3 linked regions of the Stegostoma tigrinum genome follow. The protein of the gene in region 3 purifies or fractionates together with the protein of the main gene of each other region. This does not show direct contact. Links are inferred from orthologs where the notes say so. Each region holds a gene or a part of one and is shown on either strand. Other genes may lie near its edges.

What was found.
Region 1: the proteins of ociad1 (region 3) and mtch2 purify together in Homo sapiens (affinity purification with mass spectrometry; 3 studies listed by BioGRID and IntAct, with this or other methods). This does not show direct contact. The link is inferred for Stegostoma tigrinum from reciprocal best matches to the Homo sapiens genes OCIAD1 and MTCH2.
Region 2: the proteins of ociad1 (region 3) and sodium- and chloride-dependent creatine transporter 1-like purify together in Homo sapiens (co-immunoprecipitation; 3 studies listed by BioGRID and IntAct, with this or other methods). This does not show direct contact. The link is inferred for Stegostoma tigrinum from reciprocal best matches to the Homo sapiens genes OCIAD1 and SLC6A8.

Annotation. Positions count from the first base shown.
Region 1 is NC_081370.1:11,613,993-11,624,380, forward strand, and holds the start of mtch2 (mitochondrial carrier homolog 2), read right to left. Parts: upstream 4,681-10,388; 5' UTR 4,575-4,680; coding exon 4,485-4,574; intron 1-4,484. UniProt on the Homo sapiens protein: Protein insertase that mediates insertion of transmembrane proteins into the mitochondrial outer membrane. Catalyzes insertion of proteins with alpha-helical transmembrane regions, such as signal-anchored, tail-anchored and multi-pass membrane proteins.
Region 2 is NC_081364.1:1,690,846-1,700,658, forward strand, and holds the start of sodium- and chloride-dependent creatine transporter 1-like, read right to left. Parts: upstream 4,925-9,813; 5' UTR 4,685-4,924; coding exon 4,654-4,684; exon of another isoform or gene 4,574-4,653; intron 1-4,573. UniProt on the Homo sapiens protein: Creatine:sodium symporter which mediates the uptake of creatine. Plays an important role in supplying creatine to the brain via the blood-brain barrier.
Region 3 is NC_081354.1:106,038,458-106,049,154, reverse strand, and holds the start of ociad1 (OCIA domain-containing protein 1), read right to left. Parts: upstream 4,624-10,697; 5' UTR 4,215-4,623; coding exon 4,137-4,214; intron 4,128-4,136; exon of another isoform or gene 3,783-4,127; coding exon of another isoform or gene 3,771-3,782; intron 1-3,770. UniProt on the Homo sapiens protein: Maintains stem cell potency. Increases STAT3 phosphorylation and controls ERK phosphorylation. May act as a scaffold, increasing STAT3 recruitment onto endosomes. Involved in integrin-mediated cancer cell adhesion and colony formation in ovarian cancer.

The sequences.
Region 1 (10,388 bases), on a different chromosome or scaffold from region 3:
TTTGATCAAATGTATGGAAGTTCAGTTGATGTAGTTTATATGGACGTTAGCAAAGCTTTAGACAAGGTCCCATATGGGAGACTAAGAGAAAGTCAAAGCTCACAGAATTGAGGGAAACTTGGCATAGCAACAGGACACAAAGGTTGTTTGATTAAGTGAATGAAGTGATGCACTTTGGAAGCAGAAACAAGATGAGGGAGTATTTAATGAATGGCAGGACACTAGATAGCTTTGAGAAGCAGAGTGATCTTGGCATAATTATTTACAGATCCCTAAAGTCAGCAAAGCACATGAATTAGATAGTTAGGCAGGCGCAAAATCAAAGTTGCTGGAAAAGCTCAGCAGGTCTGGCAGCATCTGAGAAGGAAAAAACAGTTAATGTTTCGGGTCTGGTAACCCTTCCTACAGCAGGCGTTTGGGACTCTTGGTTTCATCAGTCATGGCATAGAGTATGAGAGGAGGAGGTAATGTTGGAGTGTACATTACTACACTGGTCAGGCTACAAGTGGAGTACTGTGTGTAGCTCTGATTAACTCATTACTGGAAATATGTGATAGCACTAGAGGGGGTATAGGGGAGGTTCACCAAAATGTCGCTTGGGATGGAGAAACCGAGCTAGAAGGAGAGACCAGATAGGCTGGGATTGTTGTCTTCAGAGCAAAGAATACGGAGATATGGAGGGGCATGATTGCAAGTTATGGGCAGTTACAGACAGCAGCTGTTCCCCTAGGTTGAGGGGTCAATCATGAGGTGGCATAGTTTTCAGGTAAGGGGCAAGAAATTCAGAAGGAATTTGGTGAGAAAACATTTTCATTAAGTGGGTGGTGGGAATCTGGAATGCACTGCCTAGGAAAGTAGTGGAGGCTGGAAACCTTTAAAAAATATTTGGATGAGCACTTCAAATATCATTTGGATATCATAACATTTGGATATGGGACAAGTGCAGGAAATTGGGATTAGTGCACTTTCAGTGGTAATTATGTTGGTGCAGGCTCAATGGGCCAAAGGGCCTTTTCTGCGCTGTTTGTGTCTATGAATCTATGACAGACACTGACAGTTATTAAGACATAAAACTCTAATCCTGATTTTAAAAAAATTAATCTGTTAATCAGATAATAATGAACAGCAAGGGATGGTAGCAATGGAAGACACAGAGACTGAGTGCATTTTGATAGAACAGGAAACATTCACTACATTTGTTTAAACACTGCTTGCAACTAATTTTAGATACAGCCATACCTACAATCATCCATTTTTAAAATCCTTTCATCCAAAGTAAAAAAGAAACTGTTTTTTTGTCTGTACTTGGAACAGTCCTGCTAAAATGAATATTTAGAACGAAATTCCTTGGGAAGCACAGCCATCAAAAATGAAACTTGAACACCAATGTGAGATGGGGGCTGGGCCAGGGATCACATGATGCCAGGAAAGGGAGGGAAGAAATACAGGGCTTGATATAAACCAGGACAACACAGAGTAGCAACAGTCTGGGGAACATAAGGAGGATGAGGACGAGCAGACTCTTAGTGATGGTTCTACTTGCAATCATCTGGTTATGCCTGTGCCCCCAAGCTAAACTGCATCCTGATGCAATCCGACAGCGGCGAGGACTCGTCGACATGGCCATGACTCTGTGGTGTTACCGCTCCAAACTGGGAATCTCCCTCCTCAAGCTCCACAACTATGGCTGCTATTGTGGGACAGGGGGCTCAAGTAGGCCTGTTGACCCAGTGGACCGGTGCTGTTTTCTCCATGACTGCTGCTATTACCACACCAGAGTGATACTGGGCTGTCACAGCCAAGTTAAGTGGAGTATGTACAACTTCACATGCAAGAGGGCACAGACGGAGTGCAAGGGCCAGACTGTGTGCACCAGGATGTCATGTGAATGTGACAGGGCCTTTGCTGAGTGCTTGTCCCAGGCAAAACCCAGTGACATGCACTACTTCTACAAGACAAGATTCTGCAAGGAGAACAAATCCATCTGCCCTGACATTTTCCCCAACTCCTCCACCATCATGGACTGGATCAAACAAGGCAGTTAAACCCAGGCCATCTCTATCACAAAGAATTAGTGGCATTCTCCCATATACTCTGGCATTTTCTGGCCACATTGTGGAATTGGAAATCCAACTACCTAGTGTGAACCTGGACAGGATTGCTGCATCTGCCACAGGCAGGAGGCAACTTTGGCAGGGGGCTGAGTACACAGCTACACTACCCAAACTGGCATTCATGACTTTGAAAGAGAAACTGCCAGTTATTTGAAGGTACTGTTTTATACTAAGTACGGGTCTCACTCAAACATTATTGTGTCACTGTACCATTTTCAGCTTCTTCTGAATAAAAGTTACTTGAATGTGTTTCAAGTGTAACAGTGTTGTCCGGATGGCTCGGGTTATCAGCACTACTTGATGTCACATAGACTTGTACACAGCAGGTCACTGAGTCTGATTGCTCCTCTCAAACTCTGAATTGTATAGGTTTCTATGAAAACTCTCTTCCTCCTTCCAAACTCCAGTGAATCTACTCCTCAGTGATCCTATCTCTCTTGATACATTAGTCCTACCATCTCAGGAATCAGTCTGGTAAACCTGTTACACCTGCTCCCTCCAAAAAGGAGACCAAAATACTCCAGATGTCGTCACATCAAGTACCTGTACAATCATACAACACATCCTTAACCACGTACTCAAGTCATCTCGCTATGAAAGCCAACGTTCCATTTGCTTTCTTTAGCACCTGCTGCATTGGCATGTTTTCTTTCAGCAACTGGTATATAAGGACACCCAGGACTTATTGCACCTTCATCTTTCCCAATATATTGCCAGATAATAATCTGCTTTCCTGTTCCAGCTATCAAAGCAGATATCCTCACATTTAACCTCATCTGCAATGCAAATGCCCACTCAGTCAACTTGTCCATAACTGAAGTACTTTCCCATCCTCGTCAGAGTTCACCCTCCCATCCAGCTTTGGGTTATATGCAAATATTTATTACATTAGTTCCCTCACCTATTTATCATTAATACATATTGTGAATAGTTGATCCTTGCTGTACCCTGATAGTCACTAGCTGCCATTCAGAAACAGTTCCGTTTATTCCTATTTTGCTTCCTGTCTGCCGACCAGTTCTCTCTCCAGGTCACTACCCCCAATCCTATGAACTTTAATTTTACATGCTAACCTCTTATTTTGATACTTATTGAAAGCCTTCCAAGTGCTACAAATGTCAAATAGAATAAAACAGACATTCACTAGGCTTTTCAATAAACTCAAAAACAGAATTGTCTCCAATAATCATATTTGTCAAACAAGACAACAACAGTTCAATGTTTTCAATCTCACTATATCCCCTTAATCACTAAATATACATAAAATGTGATTGGAAGAACAGGGAAAACACTTTGGAGTAAAATGTGCCATCTTTCTCAAGAGTTCCTTCAGTTTCGTGTCAACGAGCTCACGTTGTTGTCAATCCCACAGTAATAGGAAATACCGAAAACAGATTTAGGTGAAAGTCAAGAGGTCTGATATTTGAAATTTTGTCAGGGGCTCACAAACTATTGTACTGAGAAAGATATCTAAAGTGATACGGTCAGATCCAAGCTGTGACTGTTGCATCTGACCAGGAACTGCTCATAGCTTCTAGGTGCGTATTGAAAATTCACCCAATTGGTCAGTCCTGAGGCTATTTGCAACCTAGATCCATAAGGGTTTTCCAGGTCTGTTTGCTCAACAATTAGAAGAATTTACCTCCACTCTCGTGTCTCTCGAAAAACTTTGATGCACAAAGCTCTCCAAAGTCACTTGTTGTATATTGTGAATAGTATATAGAACATTGTTTCCTTAAACTTCCCCTGTACTTTCCAGTTCAAACTATATAAGACCATAAGACATAGGAGAAGAAATTCGGCCATTCAACCCCTCGAGTCTGCACCGCCAATCAATCATGGCTGATGACATTGTACGATTGATCGTTTGCAAACCAACAACGTCAAACACACACATAGCCCACATGCCTGAGAAAACTCAGAGACTGTGCTCCCCACTGCCCCATAGCCAGAACACTCATCCACACCCACCATGGCCTCCACATCACGACCTCTCATACAATCCATTTCCACACAGCCGACACATTCCCCAGTCCTCTGCCCCCTCTATCACAGAGATACATTGCCCGAACCCCGACTTGTCTCTCTCACACACATACACTGACAAACCCCAGTCCCCACCTCTCACTCTCCCGCGCGCGCACACAGCACACCCTCCCCCAACCCGAACCCAAACCACACTTCCCCCTACTTCCATTCACAGACACAGGCATGCCCTGGTCCCCCGACATATATACACATACACACACGCGCGCGCGCGCGCTTCCTCAACCCCATCACCACTCGCCCCCATATCACTGACCCCCTACCATCACACTCCTTCTCTCCCGCTGTCCCTCACATACAGACACATTCCCTGGACTCTCTGACCTGAATCAGCAGCTTGACGTACATGAGCGGGTGGGAGAAGACCGTCAGCCCCGCGCCCAGATACAACTGACTCCTGGTATCCGCCATCATGGCTCAGAGCGCACGGCCGGAGCCGGAAATTCGTCAAACATGGAGGGATGTGGAAGAGAGCGAGGAGAGGGGGAAGGGGGAGAGGAAGGAGGAGGAGCGGGGGAGAGGAAGGAGGAGGAGCGGGGGAGAGGAGGAGCGGGGGGGAGGAGGAGCGGGGGGAGGAGGAGCGGGGGGGGAGGGGGGAGGAGGAGCGGGGGGGGGGAGGGGGGAGGAGGAGCGGGGGGGGGGAGGGGGGAGGAGGAGCGGGGGGGGGGAGGGGGGAGGAGGAGCGGGGGGGGGGGAGGGGGGAGGAGGAGCGGGGGGGGGGAGGGGGGAGGAGGAGCGGGGGGGGGGAGGGGGGAGGAGGAGCGGGGGGGGGGGAGGGGGGAGGAGGAGCGGGGGGGGGGAGGGGGGAGGAGGAGCGGGGGGGGGGAGGGGGGAGGAGGAGCGGGGGGGGAGGGGGGAGGAGGAGCGGGGGGGGAGGAGGAGCGGGGGGGGGGAGGAGGAGCGGGGGGGGGGAGGGGGGAGGAGGAGCGGGGGGGGAGGAGGAGCGGGGGGGGGGAGGGGGGAGGAGGAGCGGGGGGGGGGAGGGGGGAGGAGGAGCGGGGGGGGGGAGGGGGGAGGAGGAGCGGGGGGGGGGAGGGGGGAGGAGGAGCGGGGGGGGGAGGGGGGAGGAGGAGCGGGGGGGGGGGAGGGGGGAGGAGGAGCGGGGGGGGAGGGGGGAGGAGGAGCGGGGGGGGGAGGGGGGAGGAGGAGCGGGGGGGGGAGGGGGGAGGAGGAGCGGGGGGGGGAGGGGGGAGGAGGAGCGGGGGGGGAGGGGGGAGGAGGAGCGGGGGGGGAGGGGGGAGGAGGAGCGGGGGGGGAGGGGGGAGGAGGGAGGAGGAGGAGCGGGGGAGGAGGGAGGAGGAGGAGCGGGGGAGGAGGGAGGAGGAGGAGCGGGGGAGGAGGGGGGAGGAGGGAGGGGCGGGGGGGAGGAGGAGGGGCGGGGGAGGGGGGAGGAGGGGGGGAGGGGGGAGGAGGAGGGGCGGGGGGAGGAGGAGGGGCGGGGGGAGGAGGAGGGGCGGGGGGGAGGAGGAGGGGCGGGGGAGGGGGGAGGAGGAGGGGCGGGGGGGAGGAGGAGGGGCGGGGGGGAGGAGGGGGGAGGAGGAGGGGCGGGGGGGAGGAGGGGGGAGGGGCGGGGGGGAGGAGGGGGGAGGGGCGGGGGGGAGGAGGGGGGAGGGGCGGGGGGGAGGAGGGGGGAGGGGGAGGGGCGGGGGGGGGAGGGGGAGGGGCGGGAGGGGGAGGGGCGGGGGGGGGAGGGGGAGGGGCGGGGGGGAGGAGGGGGAGGGGCGGGGGGGGGAGGGGGAGGGGCGGGGGGGGGAGGGGGAGGGGCGGGGGGGGGAGGGGGAGGGGCGGGGGGGGAGGGGGAGGGGCGGGGGGGGAGGGGCGGGGGGGGAGGGGGAGGGGCGGGGGGGGGAGGGGGAGGGGCGGGGGGGAGGAGGGGGGAGGGGGAGGGGCGGGGGGGAGGAGGGGGGAGGGGCGGGGGGGAGGAGGGGGGAGGGGGAGGGGCGGGGGGGAGGAGGGGGGAGGGGGAGGGGGGGGGAGGAGGGGCGGGGGAGGAGGAGGGGGAGGGGGGAGGAGGAGGGGAGGGGGGGGAGGAGGAGGGGAGGGGGGGGGAGGAGGAGGGGAGGGGGGGGAGGAGGAGGGGAGGGGGGGGGAGGAGGAGGGGCGGGGGGGAGGGGGGAGGAGGAGGAGGGGCGGGGGGAGGGGGGGGAGGAGGAGGGGGGGGGAGGAGGGGCGGGGGAGGAGGAGGGGGAGGGGGGAGGAGGAGGGGAGGGGGGGGAGGAGGAGGGGAGGGGGGGGGAGGAGGAGGGGAGGGGGGGGGAGGAGGAGGGGCGGGGGGGAGGGGGGAGGAGGAGGAGGGGCGGGGGGAGGGGGGGGAGGAGGAGGAGGGGCGGAGGGGGGAGGAGGGGGGAGGAGGAGGGGCGGAGGGGGGAGGAGGGGGGAGGAGGAGGGGCGGAGGGGGGAGGAGGAGGGGCGGAGGGGGGAGGAGGGGGGAGGAGGAGGGGCGGGGGGGAGGGGGGGGGGAGGAGGAGGGGCGGGGGGGAGGGGGGGGGGAGGAGGAGGGGAGGGGGGGGGAGGAGGAGGGGCGGGGGGGGGGAGAGGAGGAGGGGCAGGGGGGGGGGAGAGGAGGAGGGGCGGGGGGGGGGGAGAGGAGGAGGGGCGGGGGGGGGGAGAGGAGGAGGGGGGGGGGAGAGGAGGAGGGGCGGGGGGGGGGGAGGAGGAGGGGCGGGGGGGGGAGGAGGAGGGGCGGGGGGGAGGAGGAGGGGCGGGGGGGAGGGGGGAGGAGGAGGGGCGGGGGGGGAGGAGGAGGGGCGGGGGGGAGGGGGGAGGAGGCGGGGGGGAGGGGGGAGGAGGAGGGGGGGAGGGGGGAGGAGGAGGGGCGGGGGGAGGGGGGAGGAGGAGGGGCGGGGGGGAGGAGGAGGAGGGGCGGGGGGGAGGGGGGAGGAGGGGGGGCGGGGGGGAGGAGGAGGGGCGGGGGGGAGGAGGAGGAGGGGCGGGGGCGGGAGGAGGAGGAGGGGCGGGGGGGAGGAGGAGGAGGGGGGGGAGGAGGAGGAGGGGCGGGGGGGAGGGGGGAGGAGGAGGGGCGGGGGGGAGGGGGGAGGAGGAGGGGCGGGGGGGAGGGGGGAGGAGGAGGAGGGGCGGGGGGGAGGGGGGAGGAGGAGGAGGGGCGGGGGGGAGGGGGGAGGAGGAGGAGGGGCGGGGGGGAGGGGGGAGGAGGAGGAGGGGCGGGGGGGAGGGGGGAGGAGGAGGGGCGGGGGGGAGGGGGGAGGAGGAGGGGGGAGGGGGAGGGGGGAGGAGGAGGGGGGAGGGGGAGGGGGGGGAGGGGGGGGAGGGGGAGGGGGGGGAGGGGGAGGGGGGGAGGAGGGGGGGGGGAGGGGGGGAGGAGGGGGGGGGGAGGGGGGGGGGAGAGGGGGAGGGGGGGAGGAGGAGGGGGGGGAGGGGGGAGGAGGAGGGGGGGGAGGAGGGGGGGGGGGAGAAGAGGATGGGGCAGAGCGGGGTAGAGGGGAGGGAGAGAGAAGGGAGAGGGGGAGGGGGGAGAGAGAAGGGAGAGGGGGAGTGGGGAGAGAGAGGGAGGTGGGGGAGAGGGGAGGCGGGAGGGAGGAGGGAGGGAGTGGGGAGGAGGGAGGGAGGGGAGAGGGGAGGAGGGAGGGAGGGGAGAGGGGAGGAGGGAGGGAGGGGAGAGGGGAGGAGGGAGGGAGGGGAGAGGGGAGGAGGGTGAGAGAGGGAGGAGGTGGAGAGAGGGAGGAGGGAGAGAGAGGGAGGGAGAGAGAGGGGGGGGGGAGGGAGAGAGAGGGGGGGGGAGGGAGAGAGAGGGGGGGAGGGGGGAGAGGGGGGGAGAGGGGGGGAGGGGGGAGGAGGAGGGGGGGGAGGAGGGGGGGGGGAGGAGGAGGGGGGGGAGGGGGGGGGAGGAGGAGGGGGGGGAGGGGGGGGGAGGAGGAGGCGGGGGAGGGGGGGGGAGGAGGAGGGGGGGGAGGAGGAGGGGGGGAGGAGGAGGGGGGGAGGAGGAGGGGGGGAGGAGGAGGGGGGGGGGAGGGGGGGAGGAGGAGGGGGGGGAGGGGGAGGAGGAGGGGGGGAGGGGGGGAGGAGGAGGGGGGGGGAGGGGGGGGAGGAGGAGGGGGGGGAGGAGGAGGGGGGGGAGGGGGGGGGAGGAGGAGGGGGGGGAGGGAGGAGGAGGGGGGGGAGGGGGGGGGAGGAGGAGGGGGGGGAGGGGGGGGAGGAGGAGGGGGGGGAGGGGGGGGGAGGAGGAGGGGGGGGAGGGGGGGGGAGGAGGAGGGGGGGAGGGGGGGGGAGGAGGAGGCGGGGGAGGGGGGGGGGAGGAGGAGGGGGGGGAGGAGGAGGGGGGGGAGGAGGAGAAGAGGATGGGGCAGAGCGGGGTAGAGGGGAGGGAGAGAGAAGGGAGAGGGGGAGGGGGGAGAGAGAAGGGAGAGGGGGAGTGGGGAGAGAGAGGGAGGTGGGGGAGAGGGGAGGCGGGAGGGAGGAGGGAGGGAGGGAGTGGGGAGGAGGGAGGGAGGGGAGAGGGGAGGAGGGAGGGAGGGGAGAGGGGAGGAGGGAGGGAGGGGAGGAGGGAGGGAGGGGAGAGGGGAGGAGGGAGGGAGGGGAGAGGGAGGAGGGTGAGAGAGGGAGGAGGTGGAGAGAGGGAGGAGGGAGAGAGAGGGAGGAGGGAGAGAGAGGGAGGGAGGGAGGTGAGAGGGAGAGAGAGGGAGGGAGGGAGGTGAGAGGGAGGACGGGGGAAAGAGGGAGGACGGGGGGGAGAGAGGGAGGACGGGGGGGAGAGAGGGAGGACGGGGGAGGGAGAGAGAGCGAGGAGGGGGGAGAGGAGGAGTGGGGGAGAGGAGGAGGGGAGGAGGAGGAGGGGGGAGAGAGGAGCGGGGAGAGGAGGGGGGAAGGGGGAGAGAGGAGGGGGGTGAGAGGAGGGGGGGAGAGGAGAGAGGAGTCGGGGAGAGGAGGAGGAGTGGGGGAGAGGGAGGGGGGAGAGGAGGAGGAGGGAGAGAGGAGCGGGGAGCGGGGGAGAGAGGAGGGGGGAAGTGGGGAGAGAGGAGGTGGGGGAGAGAGGAGGGGGGTGAGAGGAGGAGGGGAGAGAGGAGAGGAGGGGGGGAGGGGGAGAGGAGGGGGGAGAGGAGGGGGGAGAGGAGGGGGAGGGGGAGAGGAGGTGGGGAGGGGGAGAGGAGGTGGGGAGGGGGAGAGGAGGTGGGGAGGGGGAGAGGGAGGGGGGAGGGGGAGAGGGAGGGGGGAGGGGGAGAGGGAGGTGGGGGAGAGGAGAGGAGGTGGGGGAGAGGAGAGGAGGTGGGGGAGAGGAGAGGGGGAGGAGAGGGGGGGGAGAGGGAGGGGGGAGGGGGGTGAGGGAGGGGGGAGGGGGGAGCGGGATGGGGGGAGAGGGAGGGGGGAGGGGGATGGGGGGAGAGGGAGGGGGGGGGGGAGAGGGAGGGGGGAGGGGGATGGGGGGAGAGGGAGGGGGGAGGGGGATGGGGGAGAGGGAGGGGGGAGGGGGATGGGGGGAGAGGGAGGGGGGAGGGGGATGGGGGAGAGGGAGGGAGGGGGGGGGAGAGAGTGGGGAGAGAGAGGTGGGAGCGGGGGAGAGAGGTGGGAGGCGGGGAGAGAGACGGAGGGAGAGATGTCGGGGGGAGAGGGAGGTGGGGGAGAGGGGAGGAGGGAGAGGGTGTGGGAGGGGGGAGGGGGAGAGAGAGGAGGGGGGGAGAGAGAGGAGGGGGGCAGAGAGGTGGGGAGGCAGGGGAGAGAGATGGGGGAAAGAGGGGGGGAGGCGGGGGAGAGAGATGGGGGAGGTGGGGGAGAGAGATGGGAGGGGGGAGAGAGATGGGGGAGGAGGGAGAGAGAGATGGCGGGGGAGAGAGATGGGGGAGGGGGGAGAGAGAAGGCGGGGGAGAGAGAGGGGGGAGGGGCAGGGGCGGCGGGGCAGGGAGGGGGGAGGGGGAGAGAGAGGGGGGAGGGGGAGAGAGAGTGGGGAGGGGGAGAGAGAGCTTTGGGGAGGAGGGGGAGAGGGAGGGAGGGGAGAGAGGGGGGGGAGGGGGAGGGGGTGAGAGCGGGGGAGGGGAGGGAGGTGGGCGAGAGCGGGGGAGGGGAGGGAGGGGGAGAGAGGGGAGGTGGGGTGGAGTGGTTGTGCGTGTGGGGGGGAGGGTTTGTGTTTGTGTGGGGCAGGGGTCTGCGTGTGTTGGGTGGGAGGGGGGTGGAATGGTTGTGCGTGTGGGGAGGTGGAGTGGTTCTGTTTGTTTTGGGGGGAGGGGGTGTGTGTGTGTTGGTGGAGGAGGTTGTGTGTGTGTGGGGGGTAGGGGGTGT
Region 2 (9,813 bases), on a different chromosome or scaffold from region 3:
ACACAATGTGACCATTATTCAAGGAGAGTAAGGGATACACCCGGAAACTACAGACCAGTCAATCAAATCTTGGCTATGGGGAAATTTTGGAAGCAATTCAGAGGGACAGAATTAATCTGCATTTGGAGGCACCAACATTAAACAACATTAGAATGGTTTTGTTAGGGAGTGGTCATTTCTGACCAACTGGATTGATTTTTCCACCCAGGTGACCAGACAGTAATATATCTGATGTAGTCTCCTTGGAGATCAGCAAGGCTTTTCAGAAGGACCACATGGGAGATTGACACCAAAATACTGAGTCTGTGGGATGGAAGGAAATTTGACTAATTGGATTCAGAATTGGCTGGATGGCAGGAAGCAGGGGTGATGGTTGAGTGCTGTTTATCTGACACGGATAGTGTGACCAGTGGAATTCTGCAAGGACCAGTATTGAGACTAACTGTTTCCAACATTAATGGAGAGACAAAGTGAATGCACTATAGCCAAATTGGCAGATGACAGAAAAAGGTGGAAAGGCAGGTTGAGAGGGGACACAAACAGTTTCCAGAGGTATTGATAGGGAATGGATAAAGGAAGTGGGTAATGGCGTTTAATGTGGGAAAATTGAAGCTGTTCATTTTGGATGGCAGAACAAAAGAATGAGTATTATTGAAATGAGAAAAACACAGGAAGCTGCAACACAAGGGGACTCAGGGGAACTTGTGAATGAAACACAAAGCTAGCACACAGGTACAGCAGGTAATCAGGAAGGGTAATGGAATGTTAGCCCCTTATTTGAAAGAGGTTGGAGTATAAGAGCACAGACATCTTACTGCAACTGTACAAGGTGCTGGGGAGAGCACATCCAGAGCACAGTGAGTTTTGGGTTCCTTTCATTCAGGAAAGGTAACATTTCATTAGATGCTGTTCACAGAAGGTTTGCTGGATGATCCCTGAGATGGAGGGATTGCCTTAAGAGCAAAGGTTAAACAGGTTAGGACTCTGCTCACTGGGGTTTAGAAGAATGGGAGGTCATCTCAATGAAACAGATCAGATTCTAAAGGGGCTTGACAGTAAATGCGGAGAGGATGTTTCCCTCATGGGAGGGTCTAGGACCAGAAGGCACAGTCTTAGGATAAAGGGCTGCTAATTGAAGACTGAGATGAGGAGGACTTCCCTTTGAGGATTGATGGCCATTGAAATCCCTTGTCACAGCTGAGGGGGCAGATTCCTTGTGTATATTTAAGGCTGAGATCAACAAATTCTTCAGTCAGGGAAATCCAGGATTGTGGAGATAGGGTAGGATAGTATATTAAAGAATGTTGGATCAGCCATGATCACATTGATAGGCAGAGCACAGAGCAGTCTCAATGCTGAGCACCCTACTCCTGTCGCTACGTAAGAAATATGGGTGTTCTTTCTGGCTGGACATCTATGTCCAGTGGAATTTCACAGGGGTCAGTTATTTGCAGCCTGTATTTAAACAGGAATGTAGGACGTTTGATCAGTGTGTTGTGTTTGCAAATGAAAATTCTGTTCCAAAGGGTCACTGGGCCCACAATGTTAACTCCGCTTTCTCTCCACAGATGCAGCCAGACCTGGGATTTTCCACCATTTTCTGTTTTCATTTCTGATTTACAGCAAGTGTAGTTCCTTCGGTTTGAAGTGATATTTGATCTGTATAAAATGTTGGTCAGGCCACAGCTCAAGTATGGTGTGCAGTTCTGGAATCCACATTACTGGAGGGATGCAATAGCACTGAAGATGGTACGAGGAAGTTTACCAGGACATTATCTTGGGGGGCTGCACAGTTCCATAGAAATATAGAACATAGGAACAGTATAGGCCATTTGGCCCTTTGAGTCTGCTCCACCATTCAGGTAGAAAAGACAGATTGGGCAGACTGGTGTTAGGGGAGATGTATAAAACTGAGGGACACAGGCAAGAACAAACACATCCCCCTTGGTGGAAGGATAAACCAAAACCTTCCCTGGTCATTTAAGTGTTAAGGGGCAGGAGGTTTAAAGCAGATACATGAGTGGCAGGAATCCTGAACTCACTGGCTGTAAAATGTGTGGACAGGCAGAAACCCTCTATATCTAAGAGGGATTTAGATGTGCATTTGCAATGCGAAGCCATACAAGGCTATGGGAGAGGTCCTGGAAAATGGGATTAGAATAGCAGGGAGGTTGTTTTTGACTGGCATCGGCACATTAGCCAGCTCTACTCTTTTGTAGAGAAAGTAAGGTCACTCTACACTAACCCCAAACACTCCCAGGACAGGGACAGCACAGGGTTAAATACAGTAAACTCCCACCACACTGCCCTATCACACACAGCACCTCCAGCTCAGTCAGGCAGTGTGTAAATTAAGTGGAAAGACATTGGTATCTTCCCAGTTTGGGAGGGGTCCAGGAATCACCCCCACCCCCACCCAAAGTTGTCCAGTGCCCCACCTAGGGGTTGGGTGGATTGATTTGTCAAACTCTTTCCTAATTCCAGCCTTAGCCTGTCTGATCCAGCCATGATTCAACAGGCACGATGGCTTAATTCTGCTCCTGTATCTTATGACCCCAATGGTTCCAGTCACTTTCTTGTCCCAGGTCAAGACTCAGAACCAGTCCTGAAATTCTGATTTCAGACCTGAACAGCTTTCTTGAAGATATGGTCCTCAATCCACCCTGAACAGCCTCAGGCTTAAACTTTAACTTCCCCCAAACCCAAGCAAATCATTTCTGAAGGGTCTCTACCAAAAACATCACCTTTCCTGCTCCTCTGATGCTGCCCGGGCCAGTTGTGTTCCTCCAGCTCCACACTGTAATCCCTGACTCCAACATCAGCAGTTCTTACTATCTCCTGCAAATCATTTTTCCCTACCAATCAGAATGAAACATTTTTCAAGTGACCCCTGGAATTCCAATTAATGCACCGCCTCTGCACTCTCCCCATATCCCCATCAGTCAATGTGTCCTTTGTGACTATTTCTCCAAGGTTCCTGTTGAACCTGCTTCCAACCCCTTTCAGGCAGCACATTCCAGATCACAGCCACTTGCATGGTTAAAAATTCTCCCCGTCTGCCCCCACCCAGGGCTCTTTTTGCTGTTTTTCTTTAAAAAGTCTCCCTCTGGAGACTGACCATTCCAACAGGAGGCAGCTTGTTTCAATTGATCCAGAGAGAAAACCCTCTCCATGTTGAGCACTTCCATTCAATCTGCTGTTAGCCTTCTGATGGACACAGTCCCACAGACTCTGCACAATTACTGCAGATCCTCAGCCCCAGTCCCTTTATCGTAAACCCCCTCCAAGGCCACGATAATCTTTCCAAGGCCGGGGGGGGGGGGGGGGTGAGTGAGTAGAAACAGTCAGAACCAAACAATTCTCAATCCATAGCCTAACCCAGTGATTTATAAAATTTCACCAACTGTTTAGTGCTTCTTTGACTACAGCCAAGGGTACAACGTGGTTTTTGAACTGCCTTCAAAATGTGCCACTTTATCAAAGCGACGTGGACACAGCACTGCCAGATTGGCCTGCAGCTTTACCCCATTCACAGCCATTTGCCAGGTCTGCAATCAGCCATGTTTCTCTGGAATCTGCTCAGAGCATTTCCATGTCAGAGGGGGCATGGATCATGCAGCATATTCCAGTTGACAGCCCCCAGTCTGTGTTCAGACAACGAGGAGGTCTAAGCCACCAATCCCTGACATTTCACACCAAACTTCTGTTTTCACATTTGTATAAAATTGAGAGAAACATGCATCTCCCACACCCTTCTCCCCATTTCCCCCCTCCCCCCCAACAGCAGGTGAGCAAGGGGCTAGGGAGGAGAAAAATATGGGGGGGGGGTGGGTGGAGGAAAGGAGAACAAAGTGAATGGAAACTGGTGTTTGCTGAGAGGGGGTGGGCACCTGGGCTAGTGCTGACCACAGCTGGTGGATTTTCAAAGAGCCAGATTGAAGGGTACTGCAGTGTGGGAGTGTAAAAGTCACCCAGACAGCACTTTAAGCCCAGAATAACCTGGAACCTGTGGAAGTGACTTACAGAATAAGCCAGGGGAAGTAGCAGAAGCAGGTACAGTTACCACAGTTAAAAGATATTTGAACAGGTGCATGGATAGGAAAGGTTTAGATGGATATGTGCCAAACACAGGCAAATGGGACTGATTTAATTTGGGAACCCTGGTCAGCCTGGACCAAAGCGTATGCTTCCATCAATGACTGTATGACTGCAACATTCAGCCCCTGAGTGCATTCGGCTTGTGATAAAAGGCAGCTATTTTGAGGGCACGTGACTTTTAGCAATTTTGTTTATTTTTAAAAATTAAATAAAATTAAGTTCACCAAAGGGTAAGACTGCTTTCAATAGAAGAGCCACTATTTCTCAGAACCTTACAGAAGGGAACTCACTCTTTACCAGCTCTGTTACACTCACTCTCTCACTGTCGAGGGCTACACCATCTTAAAACAGGCTTCGTTTCACTGAATACAAACCCCTGGTTAACAGACAGTACAGCTCCCTCTCTCTCTCTCCCCCCCCCTCCCTACCTGCTGATTTTAGTCATAAAACCCGGATATATTTAAGAGAGGCTGTGCTTTTGTTTAGACAGTACTCGATTACATTGCAGCTCAAAGCGAAAGTGACACCTTGCGTGCGTGTGGAAGCATTACCCACCTGAATGAAGCTGTGTTGAGGCTGATAACATGGTGCAAAGATGGGACTGAGATGATTTGAACACAAAGTCAATAGGTCGTTAGATTTCAGAAGCAATCCACAAAACACTTGAAGGTGAGCCTAAAAAATCTCATGGAAGCTGGAGGCTGGGCGGAGAGAGGAGGCTCAGCACAGCAGGAGGGGCACTGGGGGGCTGCGGAGCCGAAACGGAGCAAGGGCTGAAGCCGTCTATAACCCCCTTCTCCATCAGACGCTGTATGCAGGGGAACCGGCTCCTTGCCAGTCCTTACATAGAGACAGCGTCAGGTCAGGGCCAACCTACTGCCGCCCCATTGGCTGCTCTCAGCCTGGGTCCAGCCCCCCCGGTTGGGCGTCAGCGCATGGACCAGGCGCAGCCAGGCGCCACCTCAACGCAGTGGTCAAACCACAGTGAGAGCCGGAGACCCTGGACGCACTAAGGGTCTCAGTAAGCACCCCACTACAAGCCCCTGGTTTAACCAAACCTCTCCAGCCCGATTCTAAATCTCCATATTTGGAAATGTTGGTGATGTCTGATTCTGATCCAGAAACACGCACCGCCACAGAACGTGACAAATTTCATTGAATGGGAGGAGGCCATTCGGCTCACAGGGACTGTACAAGAATCTTAGAATCCCCACAGTGTGGAAAGAGACCGTTCGGCCCGTCGAGTCCACAACGACCCTCCGAAGAGTATCCCACCCAGACCCTGGACCCTGGACCCAAAGCTTTTGTGCTCCTGAGATGCTGCTTGGCCTGCTGTGTTCATCCAGCCCCACACTTTGTTATCCCAGACCCTGTAACCCTGCATTTCCCGCGGTCAATCCATTCTAACATGCAAATCTTTATACTAGCCCTGGGCAAGAGCTTTCCCATTATTCTGTCTCCATCTCACCTTCCCTCCCTCCACCCCAACCTGTTCCCGGTAAAACTGTTCCCATCAGATGTTCATCCTCTCCCCCTTTGACAATGAACATCATACCTGCTCGCAGTGTCCCTTCAGGCAGTACATTCCGCTGTTTCACAAAACAGGAACAGGCCATTCAGCCCAACACGTTGCTCCTGGTGTTTGTACACTACATAGACTCCTCTCCCTCTGTCCCCTAATATTCCTTTCTCTATCTTTTTTTCAGATCCGCTTTAAGCAGCTGTTCCTAGAACCAGATGTGGTCTCTAGGAATTAAAGATTAATCATCGGAATGTTGCTGGGAATAAAACAGCTGGGGAGCCATATCAGGATAATAGATAATATTAAAAACAGAGAAGGTAATCTGAATTGATAGTTTGTCATTTCTGTATTAAGAAGGGAGAGATATGGACTCACAGATGTATACAGCACAAGAGACCATTCAGTCCGTCCGGTCTGACTATACTATTTTCATCCTTCAGCTCTTGTTTGATAGCTCTCGAGTCTATGAAAATGCAAGTCAATATCTAAATACTGCTAAATTTTCTGAGAGTTTATAACTCATTCACCTTTACAGACAGTGAGGTTTAGACTCCATCACCCTTTGGGTGAAAAAAAATTCATCAACTTCCCTCTTATCCTTTGACCTTTTGTCCTTAAATCTATACCCTCTATTTCCTGACAAAGTGCCTTCCTATCCACCCTGTCCATGTCCCTCATAATCTCGTACACCTCTATCAAATCCCCTCTCAACCCTCCCTGTTCTGAGGAAAACAGTCCTAGTCTATTCAGCCTTTCCTCATCCCTCAGTCCCTGAATCCCAGGCCACATCCTGGTGAATCTCTTCTGCAGTTGCTGCAGTGCAATCCCATCCTTCAGATAGTGTGGTGACCAGAGCTGCACATTGCACTCCAGCTGGAGCCTCACCAGTGTTTTATACAGTCCCACTGTTTACACAGGGCCTCACTAAAGCACGTTTGGACACATTAGATGTATCACCCTCATTAACCCTCCTGTTTACCTCCTCAACAAATACGTCAAACACGGCCTTCTCATAATGACCCCACGCTGACCCTCCCTGATTAATCCAGCTCTCTCCAAATGTTCAATTCTGTCTGATAACTTCCCCATCACTTCCCCAGAATGAATGGTCTGGGATTTCCTGGACTACCCCTTCCTCCCCTGTTTAATGATGGGACAATGCTGTACCCTCCCTGCCTTTCCCACTGAAACTATCCCAATTGCTATCGGAGAGTTGGATCCCTTTCTATTACTGCCTTGTTACTCTGACATGTCTCTGAAATGTGGTTATAAATGTATCCAGTATCTCTCCCTGACTGGGGTGGGGGTGGGGGGGGGGCGGCTGCTGTAGTACACACCCAACAGCATGTTTGCCCCTTTGTGGCTTCACTTCTACCCATAAGGCCCTGCCCAATGATCTGTGCAAAATGCCCTCCCTCCTCACACCTAGCATTGATCCTCGATCAATATTACAGCACCTCTCCATCTTCTAATCTCCTCTGTACCACACCTGAATACCCAGGAGTACCAGGAAGGTACAGCTGCCAGTCCTGCCTATCTTTCTGCCAAGTATTATAACCCACATACCTGTCTGTGCCCTCAGCTCATTGTCTTATTCCTCAGGCTCCTTGTATTAAAATATATTCCATGTATCCTTGTTAAATTCACTTCTTTATCTACATCTACTACCTTCCAGACTCACTTATTTGTGTTTTAACTTTGAACTCCATCTCAGCCTCGCTGCCTCTGAGTTATTCCTCAGGATTCCATGCCCTTGCCAATCCAGCTTAAACAGCCCCAGCAACATTTTCCAACCATTCCACAAGGGTGTTAGTCATGTTCTTGTTCACACGTAACTTGTACAATTCCCTCCTCCCCCAGAAACAGTCGGAATGCCCCAGGAATCTAAAGTGCTCTGTCCTGCACCAGCCATCCATTCACCTCCTCTGTTGTCCCATTCCTACATTCGCTGCTATATGGTACTGAGAGTAATCCAGACTGTTACCTCACAAATCCTGCATTTCGATTTCCAACTAACTCCCAAAAGGCTGATTCCAGCACCTCATTTCTCTGTCACTGGAACTATCGTCTCTGGCAGGTCATCCTCGCCTGTCAGACAGCTCTGCAGACAAACTGTGTGGCCTCCTTAACCCTGGTGCCCAGGAGGCTTACTGTCCTGGAGTCATGATTACTGCTGCTAAACTACCCCCCTCACACCCGCACCCTCACCCAGGCAGCTGGAGCACCTGCAGTGCTGAGGACTCTGCTCCAAGCATGACTCCAGAGGGACCTGGACCTTCTCCCTCTGCTCTCTGAGGTTGAAATACAATCCCTCAGGCGATTGTCTCATTTTGTGCCTCGTGCACTCTTCTGCCTGGCATTGCCCCTCTACCCGCATGTCCTTAAGCTCGAGGGTGACTCCATCCTGAAACCCTCGGCCTGGTCAATGCCCTGAAGTTCCCACAATAACTGCTCCCACTCTATAACCCGGGGTTGGAGGGCCGGGGCCGGGGGGGAGTTATTCCAGCCACAGGCATCTCCTGCACAGACTCATCCAGACCAAGGGGTCCTTGGTGCACACTGTGCAAATCACAGGCCTGAGCTCCCCAGGCAGGCCCTAACTGAATAGAAATGGATCACTGCGTCTTCTTTACCCGTATTACCACAAAAATATTATTCTTGCTCCTGTCAGAGTCACAGAGTCCCCGACAGATCGGCTGCCAGTCTCGCTGCCTCTGTATGAGGGTCCTCATCACACCCCCTCCCGTCAGGACGCTGTCACAGGGTCCCCCCCCCCTCCCCTCAGGACACTGTCACAGGGTCCCCCCCCCCTCAGGACACAGGGTCCCCACCCCCTCCCCTCAGGACACTGTCACAGGGTCCCCACCCCCTCCCGTCAGGACACTGTCATGGGGTCCCCACCCCCCGCCTCAGGACACAGGGTCCCTACCTCCTCCCCTCAGGACACAGGGTCCCCACCACCCCCCCCCCCCCTCAGGACACAGGTTCCCCACCCCCTCCCGTCAAGACACTGTCACAGGTTCCCCACCCCCCCCCGCCCCTCAGGACACAGGGTCCCCACCGCCTCCCCTCAGGACACTGTCACAGGGTCCCCACCCCCTCCCCTCAGCGACACTGACTGTCACAGGGTCCCCATCCCCTCCCCTCACTCACACTGTCACAGGGTCCCCAACCCCTCCCCTCAGCGACACTGACTGTCACAGGGTCCCCACCCCTCCCCTCAGCGACACTGTCACAGGGTCCCCACCCCCTCCCCTCAGCGACATTGACTGTCACAGGGTCCCCACCCCCTCCCCTCAGCGACACTGACTGTCACAGGGCCCCCATTCCCCCCCTCAGCGACACTGACTGTCACAGGGTCCCCACCCCCTCCCCTCAGCGACACTGACTGTCACAGGGCCCCCATTCCCCCCCTCAGCGACACTGACTGTCACACGGTCCCCACCCCCTCCCCTCAGCGACACTGACTGTCACACGGTCCCCATCCCCTCCCCTCAATGACACTGACTGTCGCAGGGTCCCCACCCCCTCCCCTCAGCGACACTGTCACAGGGTCCCCACCCCCTCCCCCCAGCGACACTGACTGTCTGAGTGCCTTCACCTGCTCCTGTCTCATTGTTTTATGTGTGTTGGTCTCCACAGCTTGCTCCTGGGAGTCTGGAGGCCTGTTTGCTCCTGTGTAACGAGGTTGGACGTTCTCTGCAGTGAAGAGATGAGGCTTGCCATTCCCAGCAAACACAGTAATGTGGTTGACTCTGAACTGCCCTCTGGGCAATTAGGGATGGGTAATAAATGCTGCCTGGCCAGTGACGCCCTCATCCTCTGAATGAATTTAAAAAAAGGAAAATAAAATCTGTGTATTAAGACAAAGCAAAATGCAAAACATCTGTTGTTTTGTGATAGGGATCCACGGATACAGAACAATTTGCGTAATAGTGGAACAGGTACATAGCAGACACCATTCCCCTATCCCTGGACTCATCCCTGGAACATCTGGATAATAAAGATACCTATGTAGGGCTTCAAATCTTGCCGACAGCTCTGCCTTAATCCCGACCAAACTAATCTCCAAACTCTAAGACCTTCTGCAACTGGATCCTCAGCTTCCTGATCCCACAGACCACAATCGGTAAGGATAAGTAACAGCGCTTCCTCTTGATAATCCACAACACCAGGTACCCTGCCAGCTCCCG
Region 3 (10,697 bases):
TACTGATTAAAAATCTGTCATCTATCTCAGGTTTGAATATACTTTACGAGCTAGCCTTGACAGCCATCTATTGTAAAGAACTACACAAATTTATTAACCTCTAAGAATTTTTCACTCTCTCTGTATTAAAGCAGTTCAGAATACTATTTGCTTTATCTACTGCTCTGTCTGACCTGTCCACCTTCTATAACGTGTTCATTCACACCAAGGTCCCTCCGCTTCTGCAACCCCTTTAGAATTATACTCCTCAGCCATTTTATATTGTCTTTTGGTGTTCTTATCTCACTTCTCTGCGCTGAAACTCATCTGCTACCTTTCCATCCAGCCAACCAATTCGGCTATGTCATTTTGGAACTCACTCTACCTTCCCCAGTTTAACAAAACTTCTGAGTTCATGCATACTTTGAAATTACCCCCTGCACAAAGATCAAAATCATTTTTACTGTATACAGGAAAAATGACATCTCAACACTGACTCCTGGGAAACTCCACTACAAACTTTCCTCAACCTGGAAAACATTCACTGATGAAGACTCTCCTGCTCCTCTGATACTGCCTGGCCTGTTGTGTTCCTCCAGCTCCACACTGTTGTCTCTGACTCCAGCATGTGCAGATCTTGCTATCTCCCACAGATGACTACTGCTTAGTATTACACAGAAAATTCTGTAATCATACTACAATTTACTCTTCTATTCCATGAGATATAAGAAACCTTTCCTACAAGGGCATTTTACTGTACTATATCAAACACCTTCTGAAAGTCCGTATCCACCACAACAGCGTTACCCTCTTGGAGTCCGTCACCTCTTCAAAAAAACTCCAGCAAGTTAATTAAACATGATTACTCCTTTAGAAGTCCATGCTGACTCTGTCCAATCAACCCACCCTTTCCCTTTTGGCTACTTATTCTCTTCCAAATAATTGTCTCAAAGTTTCCCAATGCTGAAGTTAAACAGACTGGTCTGTAATTACTGCGCTTATTCTTACAACCTTTCTTGATCAAGGATGTAATATTTGCAATTTTTCAGTCTTGTGGTAGCTCTCCCAACTTTAGGGAAGACTGAACGATTATAGCCAGTGCCTCTGCAATTTCCACTCAAAGTCCTTGGATGCACCTCATCTGATCCCAGGACCGTGTCAACAACCTACCCAACAGTGACTTAAAACTTCTAAAGAAGATACATACCATACTCATAATGCTAACTTTATTTCTCTTCTCAAATGTTGCCAGACCAGAGATTTTCTAGCATTGTACTTGTTTCAGGTTTACAGCACCTGTGTATTTTGCTTTTAACACCGATTTAGATTTCATTTATTTAGCCCTTACATCACCTCTTAAATTGCTATTCTCTATGCTCATGAAAGTGCATCTCAAGTACTTTATGAATCCTGGTCTACCATTCTGTCTTGGTTCCCACACTGCTGCCAAGTTTAAAATTTGTTTAAGGTCCTGCCAACAGCACCAGCAAAATGCCCTGCAAGGAATTCAGTCCTAGGTCTGTTCAGCAGGCAACCAATCAATTGTACGTGTTGCAATTTTCCCCAAAGTCCAAAGACTGTTCACTAAGAATTCAAGAATACCTAAATTCTTTGCCATTGCTGAGGTTATTTCCAAAAATTAAACAATAAACATGGTCTCCGGTTATAACACCTCAAGATCTCTCCTACACAATCTTTATCCCTTGTCTGGATCAGACAGACAGATTATCCATATTTGCATGTGTTTGATGTCACTCTTTTTGCCTCAAGGTCAGTAGGAGTAAAATTCCTCTTTCAGGAAATTCTTAAAAGGGTCTTCTTCATTCTGGCCTAGTAACTGTGTTTAATCACGTGATAGCTGTGTGCCAAATGGAATGAAAATATTTTGTTATGATCGACTGAGACAGGGGTGATAAGAGGAAAGGCCTCACTTGGTCATGACAGGATTACTAATGTAGGATTCTGAATGCTGAGCCCAACGACACAACTACATTACTTAACCTAGTATTTGACTGAATACCAGGCGATATTTTGTAATAGATTTATATAAAACTTCATGTGATCATCTTCTTCCTCATGTTAGGAACTGCAAGGTGTGCATATTTTGTGCAGCTGCTGATAAAACAAATTGAGACTTGTCTGATAACACATCTTATTTCCGAATTTCATATAGAACCAATTACTTTAAATTGCAACAAAATATTTGACAGAGATATAAAATTAGATTCAGAGACAGCAATGACATTGAAGGCTGTTTGTAAAATTGTGTTTAGTCCTTGCCAGTCAAACAGAAGGAAATACAACAGGCCTTGAAACCGTACAGAGAAATACCACACAGTTGATTAAGTGTTGGAAGACTGAATTACAGGGGAAGAAATTGGGAAAAGTCTGCAGACTTCAAAAGGAATCAAGTGAGGTACACAAATTGAGATACACAATGGTGGAACAGAAAAATTGATGTGGACACTTTGATCCATCAGGCTGTGACAAGTCTTTGGACTAAGCAGAACATTAGAGGTGAGCAATTGTCAGAGACTGGGGGAGTTTTGCTGTGAGTGACACAAGGAAGGCAAGGGGATCAAAAAGACCAGAGCCTCTCCATTCCAATTCTCCAAAAGGTTTGAGATTCTTTCAGCCTGTATGGGTAGTACTGGGCCGCACGGTGGATGAACGAGTTGATCATGGCACAGGAAGCTGTCCAAATGGTGGAGTAAACAGGAATGCGGTGGTAGTAGGGGGCAGTGTAATCAGGGGAATAGACACAGTTCTCAGTAGTTAAGAGAACAAGTCCAGATGGTTGTTTTCTGCCCAGTAACAGAGTTTGTAAGGACGAGAGAAGGGGGAAGATTTCAATGACTGTAGACTGCATGAGTACTTACAACATAGCAGAAGGAGGAAAGGGGGTATAGGCAGCTACATACTAAATTAGAAAGCAGGACCCAGGTTGCAATGGCAGTTAAGGTCACAGATTACTAAAAGGGTGAAGAGAGACACTGGAAGAATGCTACTTGAATTCCTGTGGCATTTGTAACAAAATGGATAACTTGCTAGCACAAACAGAAATTAGTTTATATGACCCGATAGCCATTCAAGAGGCATGGGTGCAACGCAGGTACCCGAATATTGAAGCATATTTGACATTTCAGAAAGGTGGGAAAAGTATGCAATGGTATGCCGTCCTTAATCTTAAATCTGGGATAGATACATCTGTGTTAACCAAAAAGTATGAGTCAAAGGCAGGTATTTGGAGATAGACCAGATGTCAGCCATAATCTCACCGAATGGTGGAAGAGGCTTGAGGGGCTGAATGGAATATTGGAACAGGAGTGGGCAAAAAAAAGGTGATGGGGTTGCTCTGTTGAAGAAAAATGCCTATTAATAGAGTATTAAGAGATAGCCTTAGGCCATTCCTGTTTCTGCCTATGTGCACGTTGATACCAACGACAAAGATCTCCGACTGCTAACTCACTGTTGGTGCAGACTTAAAAAATCTCAGCACCGAACAGCCCTTTGCTCTATTAAATAATGCTGGGCCGGGAACGTTTACCTTCTCTATCAATGACTTTAATAAAGAGTCAGAACGTATGGTTTGGAAATTTGCTGATTACATTAAATCGAAAGGAAAGTAAGGTAGGAACACCATCAAGGGACACGAGCAGGCTAAGCGAAACAACAAAAATTTGGCACAAGGAGCGCAAGTGGCTATATGTGTACTTGTCCATTTTGGCGATACAATGGTGCCTCCCTGGCGCAACAACCGATGGCTGGGGAATCCCTCCATATGTTCATACCTCCATCTCCATCCAGTTTCCATCTAAGCAGCAGTGAAAATTACTAGTAAAGGGCTGTTCTGGAGGGAATAAAGCCTGGAACAGTGGTATGAGGTTTAACAAATCGTCCACCACCTCATCCAGGGTGACAAAGGGTGACCGTGCTAGCGTGCTGAGGACTGAGATATCAGCGGCAGCTGATGAGGCAAGGTGAAGCTCGGCTCTCCTCTTGCCCTGGGTGGTGGTGGAAGAGGAGCAAGACCGCGGTCCAGGAGAAAGCAGCCGGTTATCCGATCACTCCCGGCAGCACTGACGTGCCTCTCAGAAATCGGTCCGTAAAGCGGCCTCCACTGATTCCCAATGTCACACCCGTCCTTTAGCGGATACCTGAATTGAGCCGAGCCGGTGTGGGGCTGTGGGATGGGGGTCATGTCCAGGGCCAGGGTCGGGCTGCTCCTCCTCCATCCCCGCGAAAGCTCGCGCCGTTAACGGTCACAGCACGCGACCGCCTTCAGCCTAACGATCAACCTGAACAAGCCCCGGAAGCATTTCTTTGAAGCGACCACGATCCCGGAAACGAAAGCTCTGACTGAGGCTAAGGTATCACATGCCCGCACCGTCGAATAGGAAGAAATATCCGAGCCAACCACAGTCCTCCTGGTTCATACTAGCTACAAGATAATGATGCTCTCGGTGACTGATTTATGTTATCAGATATGGAAACACTTTGAACTGCACACGTTCGGACTACAGCCAAAATCAGGAAAACCATATCAAATAACGCAGTAAAGGTGCGAATAAGAAACATTTTTACAAAAATAAAGACTCCGCTTCATGCTTGTATCTCAGTTTTTATACACACTTCCTCGTTTGCCCTTAATCTAACGGCAGATAGGAAACGAATATGGCCGGAAGGCACCGTGACACTAGGTGATTGACAGCATTCACGATCAATAGACAATCCGTCTCACAGCAGCGAGCCGCTTGACCTGACGTCAGTGCACCAATCCGGTGAGACCAGGGGCAGGACCAACGTGGGAACGAGTCCGGTTGTCACGGAGGGGGGGAAAAACGCGAGTGGCGTGTAAACGGGCGGGGACGCGGCGGTCAGGGGCTTCCGGATTTAGAGTGAAAGCCTTACAGAGAATGCCCCGAGAGAGTGAGTAGGTACCATTCCTTTGGATAGACACCAGCTCCGCGGCTCCACAGGTAGGGGAGACGAGGATCCAACTTCACTTGGTTTACGGGGAGAGTCTACGGCAGGCGACAGGCCAGGTCTTGCCCACTCGCTTCATAGACGAACTCCACAGGCGCAATTGGAAAGAGGGTGAACAAAGCGCCTGAGAATGAGCGTGAGGCCTGAAGTGAACAAAGCTATTCGGTGTGGATGCTGAGTGTGTGTGTGTGTGTGTGTGTGTGTGTGTGTGTGTGTGTGTGTGTGTGTGTGTGAGTGAGACGATTGAGGGAGATTGCCTGAACAGAGGTATGGGAAGTGAGTGGGAGAGTTCATCTGGCTTTGATGTGAGTATGCGAATCTCTAAACTCTGGATTTCCGTTCCTCAACATTTCTTCCTCGTCGTCTCTAGCCGCTCTATAAACCGACTTCTTCAAGTCAAATCTCTGCTGTCAAATCTTGTTTGATAAAACTCCTGTGAAGTAAATTGAGATGATTTTTTGTCATACAAACGCAAATAATTGCCGTCCTGATGTCGGTAGGTTCTTGGGTTGTAGGAACAAATTACTGCAGATGCTGGAATCTGAACTGAAAACAAATGCTGGAGGTCACAGAGGATCAGACAGCATCCATGGAGAGAGAGCAAGCTAACATTTCTAGTCTAGACGACTTCTCATCAGAGCTGGTAGGAACTGCCGATGCTGGAGAATCTGAGATAACAATGTGTGGAGCTGGATGAACACAACAGGCCAAGCAGCATAAGAGGAGCAGGAAAGTTGACGTTTCGGGTCTGGACCCTTCTTCGTTCTCCAGACACGAAACGTCAGCTTTCCTGCTTGGCCTGCTGTATTCATCCAGCTCTACACCTTGTTATCCCTCTTCATCAGAGCTGTTCTGTTCCTAACTTCTGCGTGTGAATGTGAATACTTGATTGATTTGTGAGCTTCAAGAATTTACTATCCTCGGTCTGATTGTGTGTGAGACTCTTCCACCTATAACATAAAATAATATCGGAAATAAAACGTGCATAAACGAACGGCTGTGGACTTGAAATATTAATTCTACCTTATGCTTCTCGCAGATAATTCCTGACCTGCGTGTTTCCTGCATGTTTTGTTTTTACTTTATATTTTACTATTGGAGATAAATGGTGCTGCATTTGTAATTCGGAGGCCCTCTTGCCTTCGGTTGTTTCACTTTCTACTTTTGAAGATGGCATGATGTCAATAGCAAACGTCGTTACTTGTGTCAATTCTATTGTTCTGTCTTTTAGCAAAATTACAATAGAGTACTGGTCAAAAGTGTATTTGACTGACATCCACTATATTCAGGTGGCCCAGCAGAAAAGGATGTTGAGTCACTTATTCTAGAGCCATAGAGATCTGTAGCACATAAAAAGGCCCTTCTGCCCGTAACATCTAGACCCAACCATCTAACTATTCTTATCCCAGCACTTGATCCATTGCAAAAGCATACCTAAATGTTACGTGGATTTCTGTCTCTACCACCTTTCAAGCATTGAGTTTCAGATTTCTGCCATGCTCTTGGCAATAAAGATTTTCCTCATCCCCTTGTACCTTAAATCTGTGCCCTAGTTCATCAAGCAGAAAAAGTTTCTTCCTGCCTATGCTTATCTATGCCCCTGATAATTTTATACATTTCAATCACGTTCCCCCTTATCCAATCATGATGGTGTACTGGAGGCTATCTCTGACAATTCGGACTTCAGGGGCCAAAGATGCTGTGGGACATTGGTGGATTTATTATAGAATTTGCTAAACCATCTTTGCCGTTCATGATTTGAATTCCTATTATTTGTACTCTTCTGAAAGGAGCATGTTGGATTTGTATTTTGATTTAATGCCACTGAGACACCCTCAAAAATTCACGGTACATAGTTCTGATAAATCAGATATTTTTAAATTTAAAAATTTCAAACACCAAATAATTTGCACGAGCCAATGCAAATAAATTGGAAAAGTAGAAATTTTGTGCTAAAATATTTGAATGATCATCCTCTGAAGTAAGAGGTTTATTTGACAGTAGTGAATTTGACCTGTATTGGAATGGTTGGAAATAGCTCCTTTAATACAAACAAAGTCTTTGGGCCTAGGTTTACATTTCACGTTTTAACAGCTTCACTTCAAAGCTGCTCAATTGGCTGCAAGCTACTTTGGGAACTTTCTAGGATCATAAAAGGCACTAAAAATACATTTTTTTTGTTGTGTTTGATGTAAGAATCAAAATTTACACATTTTAAATATCTTGACCCATGTTATAGTTTACACTTGTCCAAGTCTCATGTGCATCTTGATGGGGCTTTCTACTGTGTTTCAGAGAAATATTGCATTCTGTTGAAAGCAATTCAAAGTTATTCAGAGATAGTAGGAACTGCAAATACTGGAGAATCTGAGATAACAAGGTGTAGAGCTGGATGAACACAGCAGGCCAAGCAGCATCAGAGGAGCAGGAAGGCTGATGTTTCGGGCCTGAAGGGTCTAGGCCTGAAACGTCAGCTTTCCTGCTCTTCTGATGCTGCTTGGCCTGCTGTGTTCATCCAGCTGTATACCGTGTTATCTCAAAATTATTCAGTTCCCTTACTGCTGAATATGTCTATTTTATACATTAGAGTGCAGCTTGTAGGACAGAGCAACTTGAATATGAAAACTTTTTACATATTACCATTAATGTAACTGCATTTTTACGTACACAAACGTATATACCATAGTGCAAGGATCAGAAGCAGGCTGCTCTGCCATTCATTAAGTTTTAACTGATGTTAAAATCCTCAACTCAACTTTCCTGCTTTATTTCCCCAAAATCCTTGATTCCCTTACTGATTAAAAAATTGTCTATCTCAGCCTTGAATATACTTAATGACATAGCTTCAACAGTCCTCTATGGTAAAAGGAAAATATACAAATTACTATTCTCTGATAGGAAAGAAATCCCCCTCAGCCCAATCTTACAAGGGTGATCCCATACTCAGAGATTATGCCCTCTGGTCCCAGATTTTTCCACAAGGGGAAACATGTTCTGCACTTAACCTGTCAAGTCCCCAAGACTTGAGTATGTTTCAATAAGGTTTCTTCCAAACTCAAATGAGTACAGGCCCAATGTATTCAAGCTCTTCTCAGAAGACAATTCTTCCAAGCATGGGTTCAGCTTAGTGAACCTTCTGTGGACTACCAGTACATTTTTCCTTGGATAAAGGGCCCAAAACGATTGGAAGTTCACCTTCAAAGTTTATATTTAACCTCTTTATTATCTTCTGGTTGTCTTTGGTTGGTTTTTAGAACTTTCCCAATCATCTGGCTTGCTGCTAACATTTGCCACATTGCAAGCTTTTTCTTTCAATTTGATGCTAGCCTTAACTTCCTTGGTTAACCATGGTTGGTTTCTCACCTTCTCATTACCTTTCTTTCTTTGTCTTTTCTGTGAGCCACTAAAATATTTTCTTAAACTTCTGCCATTGTTCGTCAACCATCTTTGTTGCTAAAATCCTTTTGAGTCGTCTCCAGCTAACCCAACCCTCCTAGCTTTGTAATTACCTTTATTGAAGTTAGCACAGTTGTTTCTTGTGCAAATTTCTTTCCCCCAAACTGAATGCTAAATTCTATTTTGTTATGGTCAGTTCTGAGAAAGGGTCTCTTGACTTGAAACGTTAGTTCTGATTTCTCCACAGATGCTGCTAGATTTGCTGAGACTTTTCCAGCAGTTTCTATTTTTGTTTGATTTGCTGTTTTTTTTCAGTTTTTGTTATGGTCAGTGTTCTCTAGGTGGTCTTTTACTCTATTGTTATTTATTAAACTCGCTTCATTACACATCAACAGATCCAAAGTAAGCCTGATAACTGGTTAAATCCACAGCATATTGTTCTTGGAAACTGACCCAAATTGTCTATTAATTCTTCCTTGTGTCTACATCTGCAGATCAAGTTACCCCAATCTACATGAAGATGAAAGTCACACATGAATAATGCTCTACCTTTTTACATGCCTTCATTATCTCCTGATTTATTCTAATTCTGACCAAATTGTTTCTGTTAAGACACCCATAGGCTATACCTATCATTGTCACCATCCCCTTGTTACTTCTTACTTCGACCCATATGGATTCTGCATGTTTTGATATTTTCTGGCTATAGTACTTAGTTCATCCCTTGTTAACAATACTACCCACCACCCTTTCCTTTCGGTCTGTTCTTTCAAAATACCACATGTCCTAATATTTAAGATAATAAAATGTGAGGCTGGATGAACACAGCAGGCCAAGCAGCATCTCAGGAGCACAAAAGCTGACGTTTCAGGCCTAGATCCTTCATCTGGGTCTAGGCCTGAAACATCAGCTTTTGTGCTCCTGAGATGCTACTTGGCCTGCTGTGTTCATCCAGCCTCACATTTTATTATCTTGGATTCTTCAGCATCTACAGTTCCCACTATCTCTGTCGTAATATTTAGCTCCGTTTAGATCTCCTTGAAACCATATATCTGTATTGACTATAAGACCATACTCATGTACTTATATTTGTGTCATTAGTTTATTTTGTTAGTAAAGAGGTATTCGTTTTGTCTTTGCAGCAGATCCACCGCCCCCAACCCCGAACTATCATTTTTCTATGTTGTGCACTTTATGCCTTCCTTTCTCACTCTGGGAATAGTTATTCGAAGAGCTGACCGGTAATGTCACTATATCCTCACTTTGTTTCCCCTCTCCTAAGTCTTCCTTCTCTCCTATTTCGTTTAAAGACCTCTCTACCACCCTAGTTATTTTATTTGTCAGAACACTCATTCCAGGTACTGCTTGATGTCATCACTGGTAGAAGATGCAAAGGATTTCATGACTGTGTTAGACACAGGCTTAGTGCTTGACCCATTTGTGGTGAAACTTGAGAATGTGGACCTTAAGTAACTTAGAATGTGTAAGATTCTTAGGGTGCTTGATTTGGGAAGAGTTTTTAACCCTTGTGAAAGAACCTAGGACCAAACGATGTAGTCTCAGTAAGGGATCATCTATTAAAGACCGAGATGAGGAGGAATTTTTTTTTCTAAATCTGCAGTAAATCTATGGACTTGTTGACTGTCGAGAGCTGTGAAGCTAGGTTATTAAGTATATTCAAAACTATGAGAGATAAATTTTTAATTGGTAAGATAACCAATTGTTGGGCTAAGGCAGGAAAGTGAAGTTGAGGATTATCAGATCAGCCTGTGAATGGTGGAACAGACTCTGAATGGAATGGCTGACTTTTGCTCCTACATTTTAACATCTAATGCTGTTGGAAGCATGACAGCAAATACAGTTTCAAATTGTAATAGTTTGAAGTCACACCATGCTAGAGCAGTAACTGTAAATTAATATCTCACTGTTACTTGGAAATCTCAGGATTTAATGTTCTGAACCCACACAGAAGTTGCAACATGGAAGCCTACTATATTCAATGTGTACTTGTTTCAACCACTTTTGATGTTTGTTTACTTTCCACACGAATCAATAGTTTCAATTTCATTTACCTGATTTGTTTCCATATCTCTTAGTCTCCCTTTCCTTCATTTATTTGGCTAATTTTGAATGCAGCCATAGTTTTGCCTCAATCAGGAACCGTGGAAGTGAATTTCACAGCGTTGCATCTCTCTGCATGAGCAGCGTTACTTGCAGTCTATTATAAATCATCTTGTTTTTGATTCTTCAATTATTAGACATAAAATCAACTTCTATGAAAACTGTTGTATCATTTCAAAATTACTATGTATTTTACGTCTAACATTTCCTGAATT